Linked DNA regions of Anolis sagrei. The protein of the gene in region 1 binds, or shares a complex with, the protein of each later gene. Links are inferred from orthologs where the notes say so. Each region holds a gene or a part of one and is shown on either strand. Other genes may lie near its edges. The genes, in order: STRIP2, STK24, STK25 and STK26.

Region 1 (7,054 bases):
ATGAATGCTCAATATGCCCAAATGTGATCACTGGTGGAGTTTGGATAAAATAGACCTTGACATTTGGGAGTTGTCGTTGCTGGGATGTATAGTTCACCTACAATCAAAGAACATTCTGAACCCCACCAACAATAGAATTGGGCCAAACTTGACACACAAGACCCCCATGACCAACATAAAACACTGTGTTTTCTAATGGTCTTTGGTGACCCCTCTGACACCCCCTGGTGACCCCCCCCCCCCAGGGGTCCCAACCCCCAGGTTGTGAATCACTGGATTAGAGGGTCCTGTTCCTACTCTGGGGTGCAACAGACCAAACTATTGCCATCTTGAAACTCAACTTGAAACTCATTAACATCCCTCCCCACATCCAAAACACCTTGATCCTGGAACACAATCCCAGGCTGAGCTCCAGCAGTAAGTTCGTTGTGAGAAGAAGCTCTGTGAGAGTGAAGCTGTTTATCTGCTTGAGAAAGAAGCCCAGCGTGGAAGCAAAGAAGGAAGTATAAAGAGGTTTGTTTGTGTTATGGAGAAAAGAAAAGGCTCTTAAGGAAGATATAGTATTGGTCTATGTTTTTGTTCTTTTTATCACTGGGCTACTGATGCTGCTCCAGCAAAGGATCACCGCCTTCCCTCTCTCCTGAGGAATCTGTACAAGGACCAAGGAGCAACAGTCAGAACTGACCACGGAACAGGAGACGGGTTCAAGATTGGGAAAGGCGTGCGGCAAGGCTGCATCCTCTCACCCAACCTTTTTAACGTGTATGCAGAACACATCATGCGAGGATGTGCGGGGCTTGAGGAATGCAAAGCTGGGGTGAAAATGGCTGGAAGAAACATTAACAACCTCAGATATGCAGATGACACCACTCTGATGGCCGAAAGCGAGGAGGAGCTGAGGAGCCTTCTAATCAAGGTGAAAGAAGAAAGCGCAAAAGCCGGATTGCAGCTAAACGTCAAAAAACCCAAGATTATGGCAACAAGAATGATTGACAACTGTGAAATAGAGGGAGAAAATGTGGAGGCCGTGACAGGGTTTGTATTTCTAGGCGCAAAGATGAGTGTGGCCAGGAAATCAGAAGACGCTTCCTTCTTGGGAGGAGAGCAATGTCCAGTCTCAATCAAATAGTAAAGAGTAGAGACATCAGACTGGCAACCAAGATCCATTGCCTAGTCCAAGCCATGGTCTTCCCTGTAGTCACCTACGGATGTGAGAGCTGGACCTTCGGGAAGGCTGAGCGAAGGAAGAGAGATGCTTTTGAGCTGTGGTGTTGGAGGAAAGTCCTGAGAGTGCCTTGGACTGCGAGAAGATCCAACCAGTCCATCCTCCAGGAAAGAAAGCCTGACTGCTCGCTGGAGGGAAAGATACTAGAGACAAAGTTGAAGTCCTTTGGCCACATCATGAGAAAACAGGAAAGCCTAGAGAAGGGAATGATGCTGGGGAAAGTGGAAGGCAAAAGGAAGAGGGGCCGACCAAGGGCAAGATGGATGGAAGGCATCCTTGAAGTGACTGGACTGACCTTGAGGGAGCTGGGGGTGGTGACGGCCAACAGGGAGCTCTGGCGTGGGCTTGTCCATGAGGTCACAAAGAGTCGGAGACGACTGAACGAATGAACAACAACAACTGATGCTGGGTCACGCTGCTGCTGATAAGTACGTTTATGGGGAGGGTCTCCTTGCCCAACATAAACTGTGTTAATTCTACAGTGTGGATGCACCCCGTGTTCACCTTGCAGCCGTGTCCATACCGTTCTCGGTTCTTTCCGGTGTTGCAAAGGTACATAAATGTGCTTCCCCCCCCCCCCCCCCGCTTTTTGGAAACCTGGCTTGCCAATGGCAACCTCAGCCTTTCCTCTCCCACCTTTTTCTCACCTTTTTGGCAGGTGACCATAGCAACGGCCCACCTGTCCGCAAAACACAATCCGGAACAGTCCTGAAATAGCACCTGAGAGAGTGACACCTTTCAGTGGCCCCATGCGCACACACACCTGGCTTTCATGCAACACAATGGTTTTCAAAATGTTACACACACACACACACAATGACCTTCAGGCTATGTGACTAAGGAGTCTATGAAACAACACACACACACACACACACACATGTGTTATAGTATGTGTGTGTGCATAGAGTCTCATCTCCAAGATAAGTTTGTCCAGGTATCAGAATTGCATCTCCTGGGAGTTATAGTTTGGAGAGGCATCAACACTTTGGCAGACTCACACACGCAATAGGTGCCTGTGGTATATTGTGTGTGTGTGTAAGTTTGCAAATACACAGATACAGAAAACAGGGCTTGCAAAGGCAACCCATGCAATTTGCAATACAGCCCTTTGCAATAAGTGCTTATAATAGTTTGCAAACATATACAAGTCACACATATACAGGCCTAGCCTGGCAGACTCAAGGCAAAAGACCTTGTTAAACTACAACTCCCATTAGCACTGAGATGTGTAGAGTGAATGCAGCTAAACTGCCATGGCTCAATGATATTAACTCGTGGGAGTTGCAGTTTTGCAAGGTTTGAGGATTTCTCTGCCCTGCAGTGTTGGTGTCTTGTCAAACTACAACTCCCAGGATTCCATTAGCACTGAGGCATGTAGAACGAACACAGCTTGACATGAAGCAATGATATTAACTCACAGGAGTTGTAGTTTTACAAAGTCTGTGGACTTTTCTGCCATGCAATGTTGGTGTCTCATCAAACTACAACTTCCAGGACTTCATTAGCACTGAAGCATGAATAACCGAATGCAGCTTAATGGTATTATCTCATGGGAGTTGTAGTTTTACATGGTCTTAAACCTTATCTGCCAAATAATGTTGGGGTCTTGTCAAACTACAACTCCCAGGATTCAATAGGCATTTTCATTTGCATCCATTCTACAGTGTAGAATAGATGCACCATGCATATCTCGCCAAACTACAACTCTCAGGACCCTATAGCATTGGGCCATGGTGGTTCATGGGTCGTGGATGCAATGCAACCAGTGCTATGGAATGCAGGGACTTCCAGGAGTTGTAGTTTTACAAGGTCTGTGGTCTTCTCTGCAATATAATGTCAGTGCTTCACCAAACTACAACTCCCAGGACCCTATAGCATTGAGCCATGGTGGCTTATGGGGTGTGGATGCAGCGCAACCAGTGCTAGGGAATGCAAGGAATTGCGGGAGTTGTAGTTTTACAAGGTCTATGGACTTATCTGCAATATAATGTTGGTGCATTACCAAACTACAACTCCCAGGGCCCTATAGCATAGGGCCATGGTGGCTTATGAGTCGTGGATGCAATGCAACCAGTGCTATGGGATGCAAGGACTTGCGGGAGTTGCAGTTCTACAAGGTCTACGGACTTCTCTGCAATATAATGTTGGTGCTTCACCAAACTACAACTCCCAGGACCCCATAGCATTGAGCCATGGCGGCTTATGAGTCGTGGATGCAATGCAACCAGTGCTATGGGATGCAAGGACTTGTGGGAGTTGCAGTTCTACAAGGTCTATGGACTTCTCTGCAATATAATGTTGGTGCTTCACCAAACTACAACTCCCAGGGCCCTATAGCATAGGGCCATGGCGGCTTATGGGATGTGGATGCAACACAACCAGTGCTAGGGAGTGCAGGGACTTGCGGGAGTTATAGTTTTACAAGGTCTTTGGACTTCTCTGCAATATAATATTGGTGCTTTACCAAACTACAACTCCCATGGCGGCTTATGGGGTGTGGATGCAATGCAACCATTGCTATGGAGTGCTGGGACTTGTAGTTCGGGGAGGCGCCTTTGAGGGGAACTACAACTCCCAAGCTTTCCCTGCCCATAATACTCTAAATCTCTGCAAGCAATGCAAGCAGAAGCCCCGCCTCCCTTCTTCGCCTGCCGCCCTGGTGACAGCTCTCCCAACAGGGGTCTCCCTCCTCCGCGCCGCAGCCAATGGCCGGCGGGGGTGTGCGCCCAGGCCCCGCCCAGAGGCGCCGGGCAGCCAATGGCAGAGCAGGTGGGCGTGGCCGGTGCGGGGAAGGGCTGTCCCCAGCCCCACACGTGGCCGCCTTGCTGCAGGGCTTCCCGGCTGGAAGGAAGGAAGGAAAGCAGGCTGGTGAGCCATGGAGGAGCCGGGCAAGCCGGGAAAAGGCGCCCCACGACCCCAGAGGAGCCGCTCCCAGGTCAGAAGCCTCTCTTGGCACACTCTCCCAGGCACCCATTGCAAAAGGGGGACATGCACCCCTTGCAAAACTGCCCGGGGACCCCTTTTGAAAGCCCTGTTTGCTGTATTTTTGCATTTGCAAACTTATGGTGGGCACCTATTGCCAAGGACTGTATTGCAGGTTGCATAGGCTGCCTTTGCAAGCTCTGTTTTTTATATCTATTTGCAAACTTAGCATAGGCAGCTATTGCAAAGGATAATGTGTGTATTTGCAAACTATATATATATGTGTGTGTGTGATTGCAATCTGTAATATGCACCTATTGCAAAGGATGGTGTACACACATTGCCAATTGCATGGGGTGCCTTTTGCAGGCTATATATGTGTTTGTGTATACATATCTATGTTTGCAAACTATTATAAGCACTTATTGCAAAGGATAATGTGTGTATTTGCAAACTATATCTATATATATGTGTGTGTGTGTGATTGCAAACTGTAATATGCACCTATTGCAAAGGATGGTGTACACACATTGCCAATTGCATGGGGTGCCTTTTGCAGGCTATATATGTGTTTGTGTATACATATCTATGTTTGCAAACTATTTTAAGCACTTATTGCAAAGGATAATGTGTGTATTTGCAAACTATATAGATGTATATGATTGCAAACTAATATGCACCTATTGCAAAGGATGGTGTGCACACATTGCCAATTGCATGGGGTGCCTGTTGCAGGCTGTGTATATGTGTTTGTGTATACATATATATGTTTGCAAACTATAATAGGCACTAATTGCAAAGGTCTGTATTGCAAATTGCATGGGTTGCCTTTGCAAGTTCTATTTTTATATGTTTGCAAACTTACTATAAGCACCTATTGCATATATATATGCAAATATAGATATATGCAGATTGCATGGGCTGCCTTTGCAAGCTCTGTTTTTTGTATCAATTTGCAAACTTACCATAGGTAGCTATTGCAAAGGATAATGTATGTATTTGCAAACTATATATATATGATTGCAAACTGTAATATGCACCTATTGCAAAGGATGGTGTACACACATTGCTAATTTTGTAGACTATGTATATGTGTGACTTGTATACATATATATGTTTGCAAACTATAATAGACACTTATTGCAAAGGGCTGTATTGCAAATTGCATGGGCTGCCTTTGCAAGCTCTATTGTTTATATCTGTTTGCAAACTTACCATAGGCACTTATTGCGTGTGTGTGTGTTCTTGCAAACTATAATAGGCGTCTATTACAACGAACTGTGGGCACACATTGCCAATTGCATTGGGTGACTTCAAGCTATGTACCCTAGGTATGTGTCTCAGTGTGTATACATATATATGTTTGGAAAGCATAAGTCGCAGCTGTTGCAAAGGACTGTATTGCCAATTGCATGGGGGTGCCTTTGCGAGCTCTATTTTTATATCTCTGTCTTTGCAAACTTATCATCGCCACCTATTGCAAAGGATAATGTGATTTTGTAAGCTACAATATGCACATATTGCAAAGGATTGTATTGTGAATTACAAGAGATTCCTTGGCAAGCTCAGTTTTTATATCTATTTGCGAACCTATAGACACCTGTGAACATACATATGTTTGCAAACTAATATACACATATTGGGAAGGATATGCACATAATGCAAATTGCATGGGTGACTTGGCAAGATATGTGTGTGTGCATGTGTATATACACACACATATGCCAGTGACTTGCAAACTTGCACATGCTGCAAACTATATTGTCTGGGAGTTGCAAGGTCTAAAACAGGGCTTCCAAAGGCACCCAAGACAAAATTTGGGGGCATATTTTTCCTCTATATATTTGAAAACTATGATTAGGACTTAGTGTATTGCAAGTTGCATGAGGTGCAGCTACAAGTACTGTTTTGCCAACTATAACAGGCACATAATAAAAAGGATAATGTGCACACATGTATCATGTGCAAGCATTGCAAATTACAGAGGGTGACTCTATATATATGTTTGCAAACTATAATAGGCACATATTGCAAAGGATAATAATGTACACACATTGCCAATTACAAAGGGTGACTTTGCAAGGTATGTGTGTGTCATATATAGAATCATAGAATCAAAGAGTTGGACGAGACCTCCTGGGCCATCCAGTCCAACCCCATTCTGCCAAGAAGCAGGAATATTGCATTCAAAGCACCCCTGACAGATGGCCATCCAGCCTCTGTTTCAAAGCTTCCAAAGAAGGAGCCTCCACCACACTCGGGGGCAGAGAGTTCCACTGCTGAACAGCTCTCACAGTCAGGAAGTTCTTCCTCATGTTCAGATGGAATCTCCTCTCTTGTAGTTTGAAGCCATTGCTCCATTGCGTCCTAGTCTCCAGGGAAGCAGAAAACAAGCTTGCTCTCTCCTCCTCCCTGTGGCTTCCTCTCACATATTTATACATGGCTATCATGTCTCCTCTCAGCCTTCTCTTCTTCAGGCTAAACATGCCCAGCTCCTTAAGCCGCTCCTCATAGGGCTTGTTCTCCAGACCCTTGATCCTTTTAGTCACCCTCCTCTGGACACATTCCAGCTTGTCAACATCTCTCTGGAATTGTGGGGCCCAGAATTGGACACAATATTCCAGGTGTGGTCTAACCAAAGCAGAATAGAGCATGGGTAGCATGACTTCCTTAGATCTAGACACTATGCTCCTATTGATGCAGGCCAAAATCCCATTGGCTTTTTTTGCCGCCACATCACATTCCTGGCTCATGTTTAACTTGTTGTCCACGAGGACTCCAAGATCTTTTTTGCCAATATATATGTTGGCAAACCATAACAGGCACATATTGCAAAGGATGACGTGTATACTTTTATAATGTGCACACATTGCAAATTACTGAAGGTGTCTTTGCAACCTGTGTGTG
Region 2 (7,729 bases), on another chromosome or scaffold:
AGTCTGTCAGAGTCTTACAGTCTTAGGATCCTCGTTCCTGGCTACAAGGGAGTCTTTTTTCTATTTTAGGTAGTAGTGGGGTAGAGTTGGCCTCAAATATGTTGCTAGAAATTGAAAGACATTTGAAGAATTAGACTGAAATGATAATGGTGACAGCAATGTATGGTTTTAAGACAGGAGTGGGCAACTTGTGGCCTCACTGATGTTACTGGATTCCAGTTCCTATAACCCTGGCAAACGTTGGCCCTCCATGTGTTTTGGACTTCAACTCCCACAATAACTAACAGCTTGCCGGCTTCAATTGTGGAAGTTGAAGTCCAAAACACCTGGAGGGCCAAAGTTTGCCCATGCCTGCTATAAGTGCTGCTTTTGGCTGGATCTACACTGCTCTATATCCCAGGGTCCCAGATTATCTGGCAATGTAGGCTCATATAATCCAATTCAAAGCCTTGCAAAAAACTTAAGGAAATACTTGATCAACAAGGGAAGACCTTGTTAGTGCCTGGAATTACCTGTGAAACTGCGGTTACTCGAATTATTTGGAAAATGAAGAAGATGGGGAGAAAGTGGGAAGTTACAGCTTTGCAGGTCCCCTCTGGCTGTTTATTGGAAGAGGGATAGCCAGCAGCTTGTGGGTGGGGAAGTGAAGAAAAATGATGACCACAAGAATATGTACATGTCTCAAACTTGCTGATGCGGTTGGTCTATTGCACTACATTGACATTTTTTTTGAAACGCTTTCTGCTGCCTAAATATGAGAGTCTCTCTCTCCCCACCCCTTTAATGGAGAAGGACAGCCTAGAAATGAGTTGAACATTGGTTTGAAGTGACAACCCCCAGTGGCACAGCAGGATAAACCACTGAGCTGCTGAACTTGCCGACCGAAAGGTTGGCACTTCAAATCCGGGGAGTGGATTTGAACCACCAACCTAACAGTTCAAAAACATACAAATGTGAGTAGATCAATAGGTACCACTCTGGCGGGAATGTAATGGCGCTCCATGCAGTCATGCCATCCACATGACCTTGGAGGTGTCTATGAACAACGCCAGCTGTTCAGCTTAGAAATGGAGATGAGCACCAACCCCCAGAGTTGGACATGATTAGACTTCATGTCAGGGGAAAATCTTTAGCTACTAACCATGATATTGTGCAATCACAAGAATGCCCTTTTGTGGCTGGGGCTTCTAATGTATGATCATGAAACAATAAAGGAGCATAATTTAATACATTTTGAAAAAAAAGTAAAATAATACATCTCAGTGACGTGATACACATCAGTGTACTAAACACTGTATTTAATGGGGTGTTTATATTTAAGATGACAACGTCGAGTCTAACATTAATGGCATAATTGCTACTCAGTGGCACATATTTTCTAGAATATGGAGATGGATGATCCTAGCAACCGGCCGCAGAAAAGCAGTGAAGAAAGATGTGGCTATGAAATTCTTCCTTGGCCTAATTAGACTGCCTTTGGTGTCGTTACGTTTTTGCAATGAGTTTGATCAACACCAATTATTTTAATTGTTGAAGAGTTTGGCTCTGGGTGTGACACAGTAACTAGGTTAACGCAGAAACTTAAGATAATTGATCATCCCACGAAAGGAATTCAGTGATTGCCTAGGGAAGGATTGTTATGAACAAATCCAAGATTTTCTTGTTATCTATGCAAATACATAGAATCCTATTGAGATTATATTTTCTAAAATTATTTGTTTTGCTTTCATTGTTATTTACCATTAACCCATTCACAGCAACAAATAGATAACTGAAGGGATATTTGCATCCTAGTTTATGTAAGACACTGGTGTGATTTACTTTGATGTGTTTCTTTTCTTGTTCTTGTATTTAAGCGCCAAACATTAAAAATCATTGCGGCGGCATGGAATACACAATTAAACTGGAACTCGCTGTCCCTTATTTACTATGGCAGATTTGTAAAGTGGAAGCCAGTGTGGCATAATGGTTTGAACACTGGACTATGGCATTGGAAAACAGGTGTGAATCCACACTTGGACCTTTTAAGTTCAAAAATCTTGTGATAGATTTACCTTTGGGTCTCCATAAGCCAATAATGACTTGAAGGCATACAACAACCCCATTAGAATCATAGAGTTGAAAGAGACTCCCCTGTCCAGCGCTCTGACATGCAGGGAAAGCCCAATCAAAGCACCCCTAATGGATGGCCATCCAGCCTCGGCTTAAAAGCCTACGAAGGAGCTTCTACCACACTCTGAGGCAAAGACCCACTGCTGAACAGCTTTCATGGTCAGAAAGTTCTTCTCCAGGGCAGCAGAAAACAAGCCTGCTCCCTCTTCCTTATGGTATCCTTTCACATATTTATACTAGGAGCCCCCGGTGGCACAGTGGGTTAAACCCCTGTGCCGGCAGGACTGAAGACCCGACAGGTCGCAGGTTCGAATCCGGGGAGAGGCGGATGAGCTACCTCTATCAGCTCCAGCTCCTCATGCAGGGACACGAGAGAAGCCTCCCACAAGGATGATAAAACATCAAATCATCCGGGCGTCCCCTGGGGAACGTCCTTGCAGACGGCCAATTCTCTCACAACAGAAGCGACTTGCAGCTTCTCAAGTCACTCCTGACACGACCAAAAAAAACCATATTTATACTTGGCTATCATGTCTCCTCTTAACTTTCTCTATTGCAGGCTAAACAGACCCAGATCTTTAAGATGCTCCTCATAGGACATGGTCTCCAGGCCTTTGATCATTTTAGTCACCATCCTCTGGACACCTTCCTTGTCAATATCTCTCTTGAATTGTGGTGTCCAGAATTGGACACAGTATTCCAGGTGTTTCTGCCCAAAGCAGAATAGAGGGGTAACATGACTTCCCTCAATCTACACCAGGCATCACCAAACTGTGGCCCTCTGATAATGCAGCATTTCTCATTAGGAACCACATCCACTGTTTTAACATCGTGAGATGTATTCCACACTGGGCAATTTCCCACAGAAGAAATACTAAAAGTACAAGATTGTTGGGACGATGTGAGCTTGCAACATCATTTAGAAAGAAAGCAATGTCTGGAAGGTCTGGAGTACAAGCCCTATGAGAAGCAGCTTAAGGAGCTGGGCATGTTTAGCCTGAAGAAGAGAAGGCTGAGAGGAAACATGAGAGCTATGTATAAATATGTGAGAGGAAGTCACAGGGAGGAGGGAGCAAGCTTGTTTTCTGCTGCCCTGGAGACTAGGATGCGGAAAAATGGCTTCAAACTACAAGAAAAGAGAGTCCACCTGAACATTACTTCCTGACTGGGAGAGCTGTTATGCAGCGGAACTCTCTGCCCTGGAGTGTGGTGGAGTCTCCCTCTTCGAAGGCTTTTAAACAGAGGCTGGATGGCCATCTGTTGGGGGTGCTTTGAATGCGATTTTCCTGCTTCTTGGCAGGGGGTTGGACTGGATGGCCCACGAGGTCTCTTCCAACTCTATGATTCAATGTATTGTTGAAGGCTTTCATGGCTGGAACCACTGGGTTGCTGTGTTTTCCGGGCTGTATGGCCATCTTCCAGAAGCATTCTCTCCTGACGTTTCGCCTGCATCTATGGCAGGCATCCTCAGAGGACCTCACAACCTCTGAGGATGCCTGCCATAGATGCAGGCGAAACATCTTCTGGAACATGGCCACGCAGCCCGTAAAACTCACAGCAACCTAGAATAAAAGCAGCTTGGCACCACTTGCAATGCTGTGGGATCATGGGAGCGGTAATACTGTAGCACTCATTGGCAGGGAAGGCTGAGGGGTTTTTCGCGTCAGGAGCGACTTGAGAAACTGCAAGTCGCTTTTGGTGAGAGAGAATTGGCCGTCTGCAAAGGACATTGCCCAGGGGACGCCCAGATGTTTTGATGTTTTTTACCATCCTTGTGGGAGGCTTCTCTCATATCCTCACATGAGGAGCTGGAGCTGACAGAGGGAGCTCAACCCTCTCTCCCCGGATTCGAACCCCTGACCTGTCGTTCAGCAGTCCTGCCGGCACAAAGGTTTAACCCATTGCTCCCCCGGGGGCTCTCCTACAACTCCAATGCTTCCACAGCCTTGAGTCAGGGCGGTTTAGAGTGGCAGCAATACCCTTTGCCTACAAAAGTGGAAGACCTCGCGAGACTACGACTCCCGGGAATCCATGGAGGGGGGATGAGAAAGAGAGAGAGAGAGAAAGCGACCGTCGTGGTGACGCACTGAGGAGGCGGGGTCTACACGGCCCCCGCCCCGCCCGTGACGTAGGAGGCGGGGTGGCAAAAGCTCCTCCCCTTCTCTTCCTCTGCGCATGCCCGCCCAGAGCAATTAAGAGTGGCAGCAATACCGTCTGGGTACTAAAGTGGGAGACCTCGCGAGACTACGACTCCCGGGATTCCATAGTGGTGGGGTGGAGATGAGAAAGAGCGAGAGAGAAAGCGACTGGCTTGGTGACGCACTCGGGAGGCGGGGTCTACACGGCCCCGCCCCTTCCGTGACGTAATGCCGGGTGGCAAAAGCTGCTCTCCTCCTCTGCGCATGCCCGCCTCCCTCTCTCTAGTTAAGAGTGGCAGCAATACCCTTTGCCTACAAAAGTGAGAGATCTCGCGAGACTACGACTCTGCATTCCGTAGTGGGAGGGGAGGAATGAGAAAGAGAGAAACCGACTCGCTTGGTGACGCACTCGGGAGGCGGGGTCTACGTGGCCCCGCCCCAACCGTGACGTAGAAGGCCGGGTGGCGAAAACCCCTCCCCTTCTTGCTCTGCGCATGCCCGCCTCTCTCCCTCGCGCTCTGTCTCTCTCTGTGGGGCGCTGCTGGGGGCGGGGGAGGGAGGCGATGGGGCTGAGGTGATTCCTCCTCCTCCCCTTCCTCCTCCTCCTCCTCCTCCTCCTCAAGCGAAGGCCACGGCGCTGGAGAGGCAGCGGGAGCAGCAGCGGTGGCGGAGGAAGAGGAGGCGGCGGCGGCGGCGGGGCTTCCGCCGTCATCATGGCCCACTCGCCGGTGCAGCAGCCGGGCCTGCCGGGGATGCAGGTGAGCCTGAGGAAGGGGCCTTTCGCCGTTTTCCCCGCCGCGCATGCGCGCTCGCCTCCTGCGCAGCCCCTTCTCCTGAGGAGGCTCCTCTCCAGGCAGGCTCTCTCCTTGGGAAGGGCCTTCAAGGCTCGAGGAGGAGGCGGCGGGGCTTGCAATAGAGGCACCACGGAGTGACCACTCTTTCCCCAGGAAGCCAAGCGGCATTTGTGTCTCTGTGTGTGTGCATACTTTGCCTGTGGGTTTCCTCTCCCTTGAGTTAGGGGTCGCCATCCCTCCCCTCTCCCCCCTCCCTCCCCTGCTAACATCGATTATATCCCATTTCCACCCTGCTTCTCTCTCCTAAGGGCTTGCACAGTAATTGGGTTTTTCATGCACTATCCAGCCCTAAACAAAACCCCTGCAGTTCAGAAGAGTTGACCTTCAGCGTGTCCTGGATTATAATACTAACAATAATAATCTGAAGTGCCTCCCTCCCTTTGCCCTTGTTGGATAGATGTACAGGCTTCTTGTTTACCTTTTTCTTCCTTGTATTATCTATCTTGCTGTCCATTTCGGGCAAGTCAACACTGAGATGGTGTCCTTGAGGCAATATTTGTTGTGGATGGGAGTGCATTGGGTGGGATTGTTTTAAAGCAGGCATGGGCAAACTTCAGCCCTCCAGGTGTTTTGTACTTCAACACCCACAATTCGGAATTGTGGGAGTTGAAGCACAAAACACCTGGAGGGCTGGAGTTTGCCCATGCCTGCTTTAAAGGATAGATAGGACAGCCTCCCTCCATGTTCTGGCCTAGCAAAGAGGAAGAGGTGGGTGCACACACCAGTTATAGTGACCTAGTGGTAACATTTCTTCTGCCTGTCCTTCAGCGGCTGCAGCAGCAGAAAGCAGCCCCTTGGTCTTGTTTTGGCTGGAAAGATTGGACATGCACAAAGGGAGGTAATAGAAAGGGGAGCTGGGCTGTGGAGAAGTGTGCTTCCTTTTCTTCCTAAGGCATGCCTGTGGGGGAATGAAGGGGAGGCATATTCAGGGTGCAAGCTTCAGGGAGTATATGGAAATATATTTATCTTTGGTGGAGTTAACCAGGCATCTTCATAGAACAGAACAAGTCTTGTTCTGAATATTGAACTGCTAGAATCATAGTGTTGGAAGAGACCTCGTAGGCCATCCAGTCCAACCCCTTGCCAAGAAGCAGGAAAATCACATTCAAAGCACCTCAATAAATGGCCATCCAGCCTCTGTTTAAAATCCACCAAAGAAAGAGCCTCCACCACAGTTTGGGGCAGAGAGTTCCAATACTGCATACTAGCTCTAAGAAAAGCGTGAACTGAAGGACTGATAATTTTCATTGCATTTCCTTAAATGAAAGGCTTAGGGTGAATCTAGACCATGGAATTGATATAGTTTGGCACTATTTTAACTGCTGTGTCTTAATGCTTTGAGATGCTGGGAATTGTGGTTTGGTGGGACACCAACACTCTTTGGCAGAGATGGCTAAAGGTCTTGTATTACCACAGCATTCATAATTCCAAAGCATTGAGCCGTGGCAGCTAAGATAGTGTCAGATTGCATTAATTGTGCAGTGTAGATGCATCCTTGCTTAAGAACTTCCTGCTGCAGAGTTCATTACTTCCTGTCTGACAGCCCCTGTGCATAGCATTAGCTAGGGGCCAAGTTCACTGGTTAACAGCAAGTGAAAGCTTTTGAAATCCTTGGGACAGTGTAATCCAATTTTGGTGTATATATCCTGTGATATAAGTAGAGAAAATACATTTGACCCACAGTATTTATAACAGCAGTGGGTACTCGGTTTGCCCCCCAGAACAACAGCCTGCTGTCTTCATAAAAACCTCCCCCTTCTTATTCACCCATAGTTGTGCATAGCTCTTCCCCACTTCCATTCTCAAACACACACACACAGAATTCAAGATCCAGTCTTTAGTTAATTTCTCCCTCCCATACCCTGGATCAGAAAGATATTGCTGCATACAGGCAGCTTCAAGTTACAAACAACTCATAGTTGCAAACGAGCATGAAACAACAGGAAGTAAAAGAAATATACCCTTCGGAAGGGAAATTCACTCCTATCATGGGGAAAATATGTCTCCACTGAAATTTTATCACTAATCCTTGTTTCCTCAACAAGCCAATTTTTTCCAAATCACAGGGACAGAAAGTGAGGTGAAATCTTCTGTACAGGGGCACAGACAGTAAAACAAGCACCAGAGGGGTGTTAACCCTTCCCTATGTCATCCAAACCTCGTTCTCTCTTTCTCTTTCTCTCTCTCACTGGAGTTACACTTAAAAATGTAGCTGTTCCAACTTACATACAAATTCAACTAGAGAACACACCTACAGAACCTACGTTATTTGTAATTTGCGGACTGCCTGTATACTCATAGTCTGTAAGTCGATTTCGTTGCTGAATATACTAATAGTTTATAAGTTAAGGGCAGGTTTTGGGACCAAAATGATGGATTTTGACATGACCCATGAATAAGTTGAAGTTCATTCTATGAGAGGGGGAAAGCACCAATGCCACTTGAGATGTATCTCCCCACCCAGGTATTTCAAAAATGTGGAGAGAGAGGGGCCTGTGCGGTTTTTAAAATTTCCTCTTGGGACAGACTAAACTCTCACCTTTTGACACCACTCAGAGAATGGTGTCAAACTATCAACTCACATTGATAGTTGATAAGTCGACTGAGGGTTCTGGGGTTGATTTT
Region 3 (7,047 bases), on another chromosome or scaffold:
CCCAGGTTTCCGTAATTCTCGCTTACCTGGTTGGCAAATTCCCTCAGGTGAGCCATGGCTGGAGATTGGCACAAGACCCATGCACCAGTCCTCTCAAACAGAAGAGGGTTTTCTGTCTCTTGTTGGGATCACTTACACTATGAACAAAACATAGGGGGGGAAATACAATTGAATCACGCTGAAAGGCTCTTATTTAAATTGCCACCTTAAAAGATAAAAGAGCTGCTTTGAAGAGAGAGAAAACAGGGTAGTAATAATAATAATAATAATAATAATAATAATAGACGACTAGTACTTCCAATGGGCTACTTCCATCTTGGGATTAATACAAACTTCTGCACCAAAAAATGTCTCACACCGAACAATGACAACACTTTAATTGCCACAGCAACATCGTATGGAATAACACAGTTTATTATTGTTGTTGTTGTTGTTGTTATTATTATTATTATTATTAATAATAATAATAATAATAATAACAATTATATCCCACCCTTCTCACCCCGAAGGGGACTTGAGAGCGGCTTACAAGATACCTGTACATACAATATATTACATTACTAGAACATCACAATATTAGTATTATATATTATTATATTTACTATACCACTCTACTGTAATATTATTAGTAATATCACATGTATTATGAAGTATAAAATTATTATATTGTATTACTATTAGTATTATGTTGTATTATATTATAGTATTATCAATATTCTATGTGTATACAATATATTACATTACTAGCACAGCACAATATTAGTATTATATATTACTATATTGTACTATACCACTATACTATAATATTATTAGTAATATTACATGTAATATAAAATATGTAATTATTATATTGTATTATTATTAGTATTATATTGTATTACATTATAATATTATCATTGTTATATGTTTATACAATATATTATAATATTAGCACAGCACAATGTTAGTATTATATATTACTATATTGTACTATACCACTGTACTGTAACATTATTACTAATATTACATGTAATATGAAATATAAAATAATTATATTGTATTAGTATTATATTACATGATAACATTATTATCAATATTATATGTGTACACAATATATTATAATATTAGCACAGCACAATATTAGTATTCTATATTACTATATTGTACTATACCACTATACTGTAATATGATTAGTAATATTACATGTAATATAAAATATATAACTATATAACTATTATATATAACTATATAACTATTACATTGTATTATTATTAGTATTATAGTGTATGATATGATAATATTATTATCAATATTCGATGTGTATACAATCTATATAAATAAAAATCTAATGTTCATTTGTGGGATTAGCATAACTCAAAAACCACTGGACAACACCAAATTTGAACACAAGACACCTATCAGGCCAACGAGTGACCATCACTCATAAAAACACTGAAAAACACAGTGGAAGGGACTCAAAAAGCCAAAAAAATTTACATTACAACGCATGCGCAAAACCACATATATACACATATACACACACACATATAAACGCAAACAAAACATATACAGAGACTGGGCCACAGCAATGTGTGGCAGGGGACGGCTAGTATATTATAATACTAGCCATCTCCTGCCATGCGTTGCTGTGGCCCAGTCTGTGTGTATATGTATTTTGTGTGTGTATATATGGTTATAGCACAAATTTATTTATTTATATACAACATATATATGCCAACCTTCTCACCCCGAAGGGGACTCAGAGCAGCTTACAAGATATAGATATATATACACATATAATACATTATAATATTACCACAGCACAAAATTAGTATTATACTAGCCGTCCCCTGCCACGCGTTGCTGTGGCCCAGTCTGTGTATATGTGTTTTGTGTGTATATATGTATAAATGTGGTTTTGCGCATTCATTGTAATGTATTTTTATTTTTTGGCTTTTTAAGTCTCTTCCGCTGTGTTTTTCAGTGTTGGTCACTCGTTGCCCTGATAGGTATACTGTGTCCAAATTTGGTGTCAATTCGGCCAGTGGTTTTTGAGTTACGTTAATCCCACAAACTGACATTACATTTTTATTTATATAGATATTACTATATTTTTGCTGGAGGGAGGGGCTCTGGAGATAATCTTGAGCTACGAATTCCAGGATGGAACCAATGGCTGCGCCTACACAGTACAATTAATGCAGTTTGGGACCACTTTTAACTGCCATGGCTCAATGCAATAGAATAATGGAAATTGTTGTTTTGGTGGGGCACCAGCACTTTTTGGCAGAGAAAGACCTTTGAGCAACTACAACTCCCACGACTCCATACCACTGAGCCATGGAAATTCAACTGAGTCAAACTGTATACACTGTAGATCAGGCCTGGGCCAACTTGGGCCCTCCAGGTGATTTGGACTACAACTCCCACAATTCCTAACAGCCGCTAGGCTGTTAGGAATTGTGGGAGTTGTAGTCCAAATTACCTGGAGGGCCCAAGTTGGCCAGGCCTGCTGTAGATGCAGCCTGAATTAGTACAAGAGTTTTAGCCTTATAGATACATTGATACAATATATATATATGATTACAGATATAATAATAATACCTTTTAAAATAATAATAATAATAATAATAATAATAATAATAATTTCTGATGAATGGGATAGAATCTATTGGTCGTCCCCCGTCCCTCAATCAGATGGTATAGTCCACAGAGGTTCGAATCCCCCCCCATGGCAGTGACGCAATGGGCCTGCCCCCACCTCAGTGAGAGAGAGAGAGCTCCACCCAGCCCCTTGGAGACACCTTGCCATGGCAACGGGCTGCTGCTGCTGTCCCGCCACCCTCCCTCCGCGCCGAGCCAGCCGCGTTCCATTGCCGTTCTCCTTCTCCTCTCACCTGAGCCCCGCTGTTCCGTCCCGTCCATCCTCCCTCCGCTCTCGACCAGCCCAGGATACTGAGAGAACTCGGGAACAGCAAACGGCAAGGGCGGCAGGCAGGCAAGGAGGGAGGGGGGAAAGGAGCGGGAGCGCAAACAGGCATGCGCAGGAACCTATCCCAGAACGAGGCTTTCTGGGAAAGGTAGTTCTTCTCTTCCGAGCTTCCGTTAGGATATAGTGGAGCAGGGACTGCAATAACCGGCGTGCATTGCGACAATCCGCGGCCAGCCTCTCCAGAGGCGCGGAGGTGTCTGGGAAAGAGAGTTTGTGAGGAGACACAAACAGAGGCACATCCTCTATCTATCCTCTCTCAAAGAATGCCTCCTCCAGGCTAGAATGTATCTACATTAGGCCTGGACCGACTTAGGCCCTCCAGGTGTTTTGGACTTCAGCAAGCTGGAATGTGTCCAGAGGAGGGCGACTAAAATGATCAAGGGTCTGGAGAACAAGCCCTATGAGGAGCGGCTTAAAGAGCCGAAGAAGAGAAGACTGAGAGGAGACATGATGAGGGCCATGTATAAATATGTGAGAGGAAGTCATAGGGAGGAGGGAGCAGTTCAAGGGTCTGGAGAACAAGCCCTATGAGGAGCGGCTTAAAGAGCTGACCATGTTTACCCTGAAGAAGAGAAGGCTGAGAGGAGACATGATAGCCATGTATAAATATGTGAGAGGAAGTCACAGGGAGGAGGGAGCAAGCTTGTTTTCTGCTGCCCTGGAGACTAGGACGCGGAACAATGGCTTCACACTACAATAAAGGAAATAACATCTGAACATCCTGACTGTGAGACCTGTTCAGCAGTGGAACTCTCTGCCCCAGAGTGTGGTGGAGGCTTCTTCTTTGGAAGCTTTTAAACAGAGGCTGGATGTATTGTCGAAGGCTTTTATGGCCGGAATCACTGGGTTGTTGTATGTTTTTTCGGGCTATATGGCCATGGTCTAGAGGCATTTTCTCCTGACGTTTCGCCTGCATCTATGGTAAGCATCCTCAGAGGTTGTGAGGACCTCACTACCTCTGAGGATGCTTCTCATAGATGCAGGCGAAACGTCAGGAGAAAATGCCTCTAGACCATGGCCATATAGCCCGAAAAAACCTACAACAACCCAGAGGCTGGATGTATTGTCAAAGGCTTTCATGGCTGGAATCACTGGGTTGTTGTGGGGTTTTTCGGGCTATATGACAATGTTCTAGAGGCATATTATTTGAGAATACAGCATTTCTGGGGGAATCCTTTGTTGGGATATGTTAGCTGGCCCTGATTGTTTTCTGTCTGGAATTCATCTTTCTCTTTATTTACTGTCCTGATTTTAGAGTTTTTTAAATACTGGTAGCCAGATTTTGTTCATTTTCATGGTTTCCTCCTTTCTCTTGAAATTGTCCACAGGATTGTGGATTTCAATGGCTTCCCTGTGTAGCCTGACATGGTGGTTGTCAGAGTGGTCCAGCATTTCTGTGTTTTCAAATACTATGCTGTGTCCAGGTTGGTTCATCAGGTGCTCTGCTATGGCTGACTTCTCTGGTTGAATTAGTCTGCAGTGCCTTTCATGTTCCTTGATTCGTGTTTGGGACACAGCATATTATTTGAGAACACAAAAATGCTGGACCACTCTCACAACCGCCATGTCAGACTACACAGAGAAGCCACTGAAATCTATAAGCATGTGGACAATTTCAACAGAAAGGGGAAAACCATGAAAATGAACAAAATCTGGCTACCAGTATTTAAAAAAACTCTACAATTACAACAGCAAAACAACAGAGAGAAAACAATCAGGGACAGCTAATCACCTCTCAACAAAAGATTCCCCCAGGCACTAACAAGCTACACCAAACAACAGCCAGGCCATCAAATGCTAATCAAGGTGGTCAGTTGAAACATTCACACCTAGCTCCAGCAGACAAGAGTTCTTTGTCCCATCCTGGTCATTCCAGAGATATATAAACGCAATTTTCCTAGTTCCAACAGACCTCACAACCTCTGAGGATGCTTGCCATAGATGCAGGTGAAACGTCAGGAGAGAATGCCTCTAGAACATGGCCATATAGCCCAAAAAAACCTACAACAACCCAGATGCTGGATGGCCATCTGTCGGGAGTGCTTTGAATGCAGTTTTCCTGCTTCTTGTCAGGGGGTTGGACTGGATGGCCCATGAGGTCTCTTCCAACTCTATGATTCTAGACAAGAGTGCCTGTGTTATTGAACAAACCGTCAGCAAAGGCTTGGCTGCATACATCTGGCTGGATTACCCAACCAGGCAGGCAGGTGCGGTGCCTATCTCCAACCTTTGTTTACGCTTCATTTGGTTTAGATAAAACCCAAAAGAATAGGTAAAGTTGCTTTGGCCAGAATGGCTGGTTCTTAGTTTACAGAAAGGGTGGGGTCCGATTGCTCAAGTGGTTGAAAGGAAATTGTACGAAAATTCCCAAGAATGTCAACACTATGATAGTTCAGTACTAACTGATATAAATGCCTTTATGTTTATTTGACCTTTGGCACACTTCTGTTGAGGAGCCCCCGGTGGCACTGTGGGTTAAAGCGCTGAGCTTGTTGACCGGGGAGCGGCGCGAGCTTCTGCTGTCAGCCACAGCTTCTGCCAACCTAGCAGTTCAAAAACATGCAAATGTGAGTAGATCAATAGGTACCACTCCGGTGGGAAGGTAACAGCGCTCTATGCAGTCATGCCGGCCACATGACCTTGGAGGTGTCTACAGACAATGCCAGATCTTCGGCTTAGAAATGGAGATAAGCACCACACCCCAGAGTTGGACACGACTGGACTTAATGCCGGGGAAAACCTTTACCTACCCTTCTGTTGAGGGCCTTCTCTGTGGTGGCCCCTCAGCTCTGGAACTCACTCCCCAGAGATATTAGGCAAGCCCCCACACTGGCAATCTTCAGGAGGAATTTGAAAACCTGGTTATTCCAATGTGCCTTTCAGTAATTTAATGTAAGATTCTCCCTGACCACATTTTGCGCAAAATGTCCTTAAAAGCACTTTATTTTATGGTTTGTGCAATGAAATCCTTCCTCATTCCCAGAGCCTCCTCCCTATAATTTACAATGTCCTATCTCCCAGTGTTTTAAAATTTTTAAAAAAAATATCCGTGAATCTGGCCCTGCCTATCAGTAGAAAACCTTTAGTTTTACATACCCTTCTGCTAATTGCTATAGCAGCCTACGTTCTGTATTAAAGTTTTGTGTGAGAGTAAGTATTGTGTATGTATGTGTGTGCCTTGGACTGCAAGAAGATCCAACCAGTCTATACTTCAAGAAATAAGGTCCGACTGCTCATTGGAGGGAAGAATATTAGAGGCAAAGGTGAAGTACTCTGGCCACATAATGAGAAGATAGGAAAGCTTAGAGAAGACAATTATGCTGGGGAAAATGGAAGGAAAAAGGAAGAGAGACTGACCAAGAGCAAGATGGATGCATGATATCCTTGAAGTGACTGACTTGACCTTGAAGGAGATGGGGGTGGTGACAGCCGACAGGGAGCTCTGGTGTGGGCTGGTCCATGAGGTCACGAAGAGTCGGAAGCGACTGAATGAATAAACAACAAAAATCATGGTTTTCTATGAGTGAAGAGATAGCAACTGGTATTATTTACAATATTTATACTCCGCCCTTCTCACCCCAAAGAGGACTCAGAGTGGCTTTATAGAACATACATACGGCAAACATTCAATACCGATTATACGATAACAAGAACAGACAACACAACAGAGGTAAAGGCAGTTTTTCCCATCTTATTTCCGGCATCTTTGAGGCTGTGCTTGACCAGCTGTGTGTGTGTGGGGGGGAGGGGGGGTGTACTGTTGCTCCATCTTCCATGCCAAGGATGTCTTTAAGAGCACTTCTCTCCGCTAAAAGCAGTACCTATTTTATCTACTCGCATTTCTGCTTTCAACCTGCTAGGTGGGCTGGGGCTAACCAAAGGTACTTAACCCTGACCTGGGCTCGAACTGTTGACCTTCTGATCGGCAGTATTTTTCTGCAACACAGTGGTTTAGCCTGTTGTGCTAAGCTCTGGTAGATGGCATATGTTCTGTATCTCAAAAATTAGAGCCGGTAGGGGGAAACTGGTGCAATTTTTAGAACCAGCAGGTCAAATATACCCAGAAGCAGGTATAA
Region 4 (7,329 bases), on another chromosome or scaffold:
GGGGTGCTTTGAATGCAATTTTCTTGGCAGGGGGTTGGACTGGATGGCCCATGACGTCTCTTCCCACTCTATGATTCTAAGGAGCCTCCACCACACTCCAGGGCAGAGAGTTCCACTGCTGAACGGCTCTCACAGTCAGGTTTTAAACAGAAGCTGGTTGGCCATCTGTCAGGGGTGCTTTGAAAGCAATTTTCTTGGCAGGGGGTTGGACTGGATGGCCCATGACGTCTCTTCCCACTCTATGATTCTAAGGAGCCTCCACCACACTCCAGGTCAGAGAGTTCCACTGCTGAACGGCTCTCACGGTCAGGTTTTAAACAGAAGCTGGTTGGCCATCTGTCAGGGGTGCTTTGAAAGCAATTTTCTTGGCAGGGGGTTGGACTGGATGGCCCATGACGTCTCTTCCCACTCTATGATTCTAAGGAGCCTCCACCACACTCCAGGTCAGAGAGTTCCACTGCTGAACGGCTCTCACAGTCAGGTTTTAAACAGAAGCTGGTTGGCCATCTGTCAGGGTGCTTTGAATGCAATTTTCCTACTTCTTGGCAGGGGGTTGGACTGGATGGCCCATGATATCTCTCCCAACTCTATGATTCTATGAGGAACTGCAAACTTGGCTTAAAAAGTTCGAGGACCCTTGCTTTAAAAGACATCATTTCCGTCCAAGCTAAATGCATTTGTTGTTGTTTCGATCCAAACTTCCCGCACAACAATATTCCTTATTCTTGGCCATTGATCCTCACCCCACTCATCCAGGCAGAACATTTTGTGGTCCTGTGCAAAGCCAGTTTTTGTTGATTTTACATTAAATAAAAAAGTCACTGTCAAGTATGTTTTGGGGTGGGTTTTATTTATTTTTTGCAATGGAGCCCAAATTTAATTGTAGTTGGCAACGTTTGGGGAACATTCAAAGGTATGCATTCATTGGGCTTCAGAGTGTCCATTGAGTCAAATCCCTATTTCAGGAGTTGAGTTTCGCCAATGTTTGGAATCCCTCCCTATGTTTATTCTCTTTTACAGTATTCCCATTCCGTTCAGTCCGCTTTCAAATCCTGAATTTCCTGCTGGCCTCCTTGGACCCACAGGCTAAAAATAGCCTAAATGCCATCCATTTCGGTGGAGTGGAAAATAACCAAATTGGACGGAGAACCGCAATATGTTTTCACTTACAGTACTGTCTTTCACTGCTGTGGATGCAGTCAAAAGATGTGTCACAGGGCGCATCCACACTGTAGATTTAATGCAGTTTGACAGCACTTGGACTGCCAGGCTCAATGCAGCGCAGAGAGGGATAAAGACCCCGACAAACTACAACTCTTGAGATTCCATAACATTGCAAAGTAAAAACAAAACAAAATACTGAAACCCCCTTTGGCCCACCCTGTATATATAAATATCTTTATTCATCCCCAGCTCTTCATTTAAACACGTATCCCCCTCCGGAATGCACCCCCAAATTGCCCTCACTTCTATTGACTCCCATTCTTAGGTCTCCTGTGTTCGTCCTCAAAAAAAACCCCACTTGAATCCTAGTTCCTCCTTCAGTTGCCACCGACACACCTCACTTGTGTCGTCAAAGGGACCCTATACATTTCTCATGGTTCCTTCTGAACCCCCAAATTTGCCCCATTATCCTCCTCAGCTCCATTTAATTCCACTACTTCCCCCCACCAACTCTCTTGACCACTCTTTGCTTTCTTCTCCTCCTTCCTTCTTATGGCTTCCTCCTCCTGTTCTCTCTCTACTTCTTTCCCTTTTCCTCTACTTATGGCTTCCTTCCTTTTCCTCCCTCCGCTCCTTCTTTCTTTCTTCTTCTTCTTCTTCTTCTTCTTCTGGCTTCCTCCTCCTGTTCTCTCTCTCCTTCCTTCCATTTTCTTCCTCTTATAGCTTCCTTCCTTCCTAACTCCTCTTTTCCACCTTCCTTCCTTCCTCCTCTTATGGCTTCCTTCCTCTCTCCTTCCTTCCTCCTCCTTCTTGTGTTCTCCTTTCTCCTTCCTCCTCTTCTCTCTCCTTGCTTCCTTCCTGCCTTCTTCCCCCTTCTTCTTCTTCTTGTGGTTTCCTCCCTCCTTCCGCCTCTTCGCTCTCTCTCCTTCCTACCTTGCTCTCCTTCCTTCTTCTTATGCTTTCCTTCCTCTTTCCTCCTCTTCTCTCTCCTTTCTTCCTTGCTCTCCTTCTTCCTCTTTTGGTTTCCTTGCTCCCTCCCTCCTCTTCTTCATACCCTTCTTCCCCTTCCTTCTTCTTCTTGTGGTTTTCTTCCTCTTCTCTCTCTCTCTTCTTCCTTCCTCTCCTTCCTTCTTCTTCTCTTCATGCTTTCCTTTCTTCTTCCTACTCTTCTCTCTCCTTCCCTCCTTGCTCTCCTTCCTCTTCTTCCTACCCTTCTCAGCCTTCCTTCTTATACTTTCCTTCCTCTTTTCTCTCCTTCCTTCCTTCCTTCCTTCCTTCCTTCCTCCTCTTATGGCTTCCTTCTTCCCTCCTCTTCTTCCTACCCTCCTTCCCATTCCTTCTTCTTCTTGTGGTTTCCTCTACCCTTCCTCCTCTTCGCTCTCTCTCCTTCCTTCCCTGCTCTCCTTCCTCCCCTTTCTTCTTCTTCTTCTTCTTATGGTTTCCTCCCTCCCTCCTCTTCTCTCTCCCTTCCTTGCTTTCCTTCCTCCCCTTATGGCTTCTTTCCTTCTTCTTCCTACCCTTCTCCCCCTTCCTTCTTATGGTTTCCTTCCTCTTCTCTCTCCTTCCTTCTGGCTTCCTTCTTTTTCTTCTTCCTACCCTTCTTCCCCCTTCCTTCTTCTTCTTATGGTCTTCTCTCTCCTTCCTTCTCTTATGGCTTCCTTCCTTCTTCTTCTCCTTCCTCCTCTTCTTCCCCCTTCCTTCTTATGGTTTTCTTCCTCCTTCCTCTTTTCTCTCCTTCCTTCTCTTATGGCTTCCTTCCTTCTTCTTCTTCTTCCTACCCTTTCCCCCCTTCCTTCTTCTTCTTATGGTTTCCTTCCTCCTCCCTCTTTTCTCTCCTTTCTTCTGGCTTCCTTCTTCTTCTTCTTCTTCCTGCCCTTCTTCCCCCTTCCTTCTTCTTCTTATGGTTTCCTTCCTCCTTCCTCTTCTCTCTCCTTCCTTCTCTTATGGCTTATTTCCTTCTTCTTCTTCCTAACCTTCTTCCCCCTTCCTTCCTCTTCTCTCTCCTTCCTTCCTTGCTCTCCTTCCTCCTCTTATGGCTCCCTTCTTCTTCCTATCCTTCTTCCCCTTCCTTCTTTTTCTTATGGTTTCCTTCCTCCTTCCTCTTCTCTCTCCTTCCTTCTGTTATGGCTTCCTTCCTTCTTTCTTCTTCCTACCCTTCTCTCCCTTCCTTCATCTTCTTATGGATTTCTTCCTCCCTCCTCTTCTCTCTCCTTCCTTCTGTTATGGCTTCCTTCCTTCTTCTTCCTACCCTTCTTCCCCCTTCCTTCTTCTTCTTATGCTTTCCTCCCTCCTTCCTCCACTTCTCTCTCCTTCCTTCCTTGCTCTCCTTCCTCTTCTTCCTACCCTTCTTTCCCTTCCTCCTTCTTCTTATGGTTTCCTTCCTCCCTCCTCTTCTCTCTCCTTTCTTCCTTGCTCTCCTTCATCCTCTTATGGCTTCCTTCTTCTCCTTCCTCCTCTTCTTCCCCCTTCCTTCATCTTCTTAAGGTTTCCTTCCTCCTTCCTCTTCTCTCTCCTTCCTTCTGTTATGGCTTCTTTCCTTCTTCTTCTCCTTCCTACCTTTTCCCCCCTTCCTTTCTTCCCTCCTTCCTCCTCTTCTCTCTCCTTCCTTCCTTCCTTGCTCTCTTTCCTCCTCTTCTTCCCCTTCCTTCTTCTTCTTATGGTTTCCTTCCTTCTTCCTCTTCTCTCTCTTTCCTTCTCTTATGGCTTCCTTCCTTCTTCTTCTTCCTACCCTTCTTGCCCCTTCCTTCTTCTTCTTATAGTTTCCTTCCTCTTCTCTTTCCTTCCTTCCTTGCTCTCCCCCCTTCCTTCTTCTTTGTATGGCTTCCTTCCTCCTTCCTCTTCTCTCTCCTTCCTTCTCTTATGGCTTCCTACCTTCTTCCTTCCTTCCTGGTCTCCTTCTTCCCTTTTCTTCTTCTTATAATGGTTTCCTCCCTCCTCTCTCCTTCCTCCTCTTATGGCTTCCTTCCTTCCTTCTTCTTCTTCCTACCCTTCTTCCCCTTCCTTCTTCTCCTTATGCTTTTCTCCCTCCTTCCTCCTCTTCTCTCTTCTTCCTTCTTTCCTTCTTGCTCTCCTTTCTCCTCTTCTTCCCCCTTCTTTCTTCCACTTATGCTTTCCTCCTTCCTCCTCTCTTTCCTCCTCCTTCTCCTCCTGGGCCTGCCCTCTTCAGGGGCGGAGGCTGAGGAGAAAGAGGCGAGGCCAAGAAGAGTGAGGCGAGGCGGCGAAGGGGGGAAAGGGAAGGAGAGAAGGCCGCCAGGAGGAAAGAACCAGGCCGGGCCTTCACTGCTGCTGCTTCACTTCACTTCTGCCGCCGCCTTTGGCCGAAGGAGGGAGGCGCAGAGAGAGGGGGAGCGCGCTACTCGAGGCCGGGGCTGAGGCGGAGGCCTAGGCCTCCCTCCCCTCCTTCCCTCCTTCTCTCCCTCCATGATGGCGTCCTCCTGAGACGGAGGAGGCCCTTCCTTCCGCGCCGCCCGGGGGAGCGGGTCATGGGCTTCGGCGCCGGAAGGAGACGAAGAAGAAGAAGAAGAGGCAAAGAGAGGCAGGCCCAGGTGAGGCCTGGCCTCGGGGATTGGGGGTTGTGTGTGGATTTGGGGTTGTGCTCCTCCCCATAGAAGAGTTGCCAAGTGGGCTTCTTGTGTGTGGATTTGGGGTTGTGCTCTTCCCCATAGAAGAGTTACTTGTGTGTGAATTTGGGGTTGTGCTCCTCCCCATACAAGAGTTGCCAAGTGGGTTTCTTGTGTGTGGATTTGGGGTTGTGTTCTTCCCCATAGAAGAGCTGCCAAGTGGGCTTCTTGTGTGTGGATTTGGGGTTGTGCTCTTCCCCATAGAAGAGTTACTTGTGTGTGGATTTGGGGTTGTGCTCCTCCCCATACAAGAGTTGCCAAGTGGGTTTCTTGTGTGTGGATTTGGGGTTGTGTTCTTCCCCATAGAAGAGCTGCCAAGTGGGCTTCTGGTGTGTGGATTTGGGGTTGTGTTCCTCCCCATAGAAGAGCTGCCAAGTGGGCTTCTTGTGTGTGGATTTGCGGTTGTGTTCTTCCCCATAGAAGAGCTGCCAAGTGGGCTTGTTGTGTGTGGATTTGGGGTTGTGTTCTTCCCCATAGAAGAGCTGCCAAGTGGGCTTCTTGTGTGTGGATTTGGGGTTGTGCTCTTCTCCATAGAAGAGTTACTTGTATGTGGATTTGGGGTTGTGTTCCTCCCCATAGAAGAGTTGCCAAGTGGGCGTCTTGTGTGTGGATTTGGGGTTGTGTTCCTCCCCATAGAAGAGTTGCCAAGTGGGCTTCTTGTGTGTGGATTTGGGGTTGTGCTCCTCCTATAGAAGAGTTGCCAAGGGGGCTTCTTGTGTGTGGATTTGGGGTTGTGTTCCTCCCCATAGAAGAGTTGACAAGTGGGCTTCTTGTGTGTGGATTTGGGGTTGTGTTCTTCCCCATAGAAGAGCTGCCAAGTGGGCTTCTTGTGTGTGGATTTGGGGTTGTGCTCCTCCCCATAGAAGAGTTGCCAAGTGGGCTTCTGGTGTGTGGATTTGGGGTTAGGGTTAGGGTTAGGGTTAGGGTTAGGTTGTACTCCTAACTCATTGGGTTAGGGTTAGGGTTAGGGTTAGGTTGTACTCCTAACTCATTGGAGAGTTACTAAGGGGGCTTCTTGTGTGTGTATTTGGGGTTGTGCTCCTCCCCATAGAAGAGTTGCCAAGTGGGCTTCTGGTGTGTGGATTTGGGGTTGTGTTCTTCCCCATAGAAGAGTTGCCAAGTGGGCTTCTGGTGTGTGGATTTGGGGTTTTACTCCTAACCCATTGGAGAGTTACTAATGGGGCTTCTTGTGTGTGGATTTGGGGTTGTGCTCTTCCCCATAGAAGAGTTATTAAGGGGGCTTCTTGTGTGTGGATTTGGTGTTGTGCTCCTCACCATAAAAGAGTTACTAAGGGGGCTTCTTGTGTGTGGATTTGGGGTTGTGCTCTTCCCCATAGAAGAGTTATTAAGGGGGCTTCTTGTGTGTGGATTTGGGGTTGTCCTCCTCCCCATAGAAGAGTTGCTAAGGAGGCTTCTTGTGTGTGGATTTGGGGTTGTGTTCCTCACTTTTTCCCACAGGCCAGGGATTCAGGAGGCTGTGGATGAGGGGTTGTGTTCTTCCCCATAGAAGAGTTGCCAAGTGGGCTTCTTGTGTGTGGATTTGGGGTTTGCTTGCCCATAGGCTAGGGGTTCAAGGGGACTGTGGGTGAGGGGTTGTGTTCTTCCCCATAGAAGAGTTACTAAGGGGTCTTGTGTGTGGATTTGGGGTTGTGTTCCTCCCCTTTTCCCATAGGCCAGGGGTTCAGGGGGCTGTGGATGAGGGGTTCTGTTCTTCCCCATAGAGGAGTTGCTAAAGGGGCTCCTTGTGTGTGGATTTGGGGTTGTGTTCCTCACCTTTACCCATAGGCCAGGGATTTAGGGGGCTGTAGATGAGGGGTTCTGTTCCTCCCCATTGACTAGTGACTGTAGGTTGGGGTTTTTCCCCATAGAAGAGTTGCTAAGGGGTGTATGTGTGGATGAGGGATTGTGTTCCTCCCCATAGAAAAGTTACTAAGGGAATTTCTTGTGTGTGGATTTGGGGTTGTGTTCCTCTCCTTCTCTATAGGCCGAGGGTTCAGGGAGACTGGGGATGAGGGGTTGTGCTCTTCCCCATAGATTAGTGTCTGAGGAGGCTTCCTGTGTGTGGATTTGGGATTGTGTTGCTCTCCTTCCCCATAGGCCAGGACTTCAGTCGAACTGTGGATGAGGGGTTGTGTTCTTCCCCATAGAAGAGTTGCTGAGGGCGCTTCTTGTGTGTGAATGAGGGGTTGTGTTCCTCTCCTTCCCCATAGGCTAGGGATTCATGGGGATTGTGGATGAGGGATTGTGTTCCTCCCCATAGAAGAGTTGCTAAGGGGGCTTCTTGTGTGTGGATTTGGGGTTGTGTTCCTCTCCTTCCCTATATGCTGAGGATTCAGGGGGACTGGGGATGAGGGGTTGTGCTCTTCTCCATAGACTAGTGACTGGGGAAGCTTCCTGTGTGTGGATTTGGGATTGTGTTGCTCTCCTTCCCCATAGGCCAGGGGTTCAGAAGAACTGTGGGTGAGGGGTTGTGTTCTTCCCCATAGAAGAGTTGCTGATGGGGCTTCTTGTGTGTGGATGAGGGGTTGTGTTCCTCTCCTTCCCC

Evidence for each region.
Region 2: STRIP2 (region 1) and STK24 share a complex: the UniProt entries of both Homo sapiens proteins name them as parts of the core of STRIPAK complex. The link is inferred for Anolis sagrei from reciprocal best matches to the Homo sapiens genes STRIP2 and STK24.
Region 3: STRIP2 (region 1) and STK25 share a complex: the UniProt entries of both Homo sapiens proteins name them as parts of the core of STRIPAK complex. The link is inferred for Anolis sagrei from reciprocal best matches to the Homo sapiens genes STRIP2 and STK25.
Region 4: STRIP2 (region 1) and STK26 share a complex: the UniProt entries of both Homo sapiens proteins name them as parts of the core of STRIPAK complex. The link is inferred for Anolis sagrei from reciprocal best matches to the Homo sapiens genes STRIP2 and STK26.

What each region holds. Positions count from the first base shown.
Region 1 is NC_090025.1:195,300,412-195,307,465, reverse strand, and holds the start of STRIP2 (striatin-interacting protein 2), read left to right. Parts: upstream 1-4,031; 5' UTR 4,032-4,100; coding exon 4,101-4,160; intron 4,161-7,054. UniProt on the Homo sapiens protein: Plays a role in the regulation of cell morphology and cytoskeletal organization. Required in the control of cell shape. Calmodulin-binding scaffolding protein which is the center of the striatin-interacting phosphatase and kinase (STRIPAK) complexes.
Region 2 is NC_090023.1:115,845,596-115,853,324, forward strand, and holds the start of STK24 (serine/threonine-protein kinase 24), read left to right. Parts: upstream 1-4,717; 5' UTR 4,718-4,963; coding exon 4,964-5,008; intron 5,009-7,729. UniProt on the Homo sapiens protein: Serine/threonine-protein kinase that acts on both serine and threonine residues and promotes apoptosis in response to stress stimuli and caspase activation.
Region 3 is NC_090023.1:226,720,284-226,727,330, reverse strand, and holds the start of STK25 (serine/threonine-protein kinase 25), read right to left. Parts: upstream 3,015-7,047; 5' UTR 2,877-3,014; intron 138-2,876; 5' UTR 57-137; coding exon 27-56; intron 1-26. UniProt on the Homo sapiens protein: Oxidant stress-activated serine/threonine kinase that may play a role in the response to environmental stress.
Region 4 is NC_090030.1:23,303,603-23,310,931, forward strand, and holds the start of STK26 (serine/threonine-protein kinase 26), read left to right. Parts: upstream 1-4,325; 5' UTR 4,326-4,709; intron 4,710-7,329. UniProt on the Homo sapiens protein: Serine/threonine-protein kinase that acts as a mediator of cell growth. Modulates apoptosis. In association with STK24 negatively regulates Golgi reorientation in polarized cell migration upon RHO activation.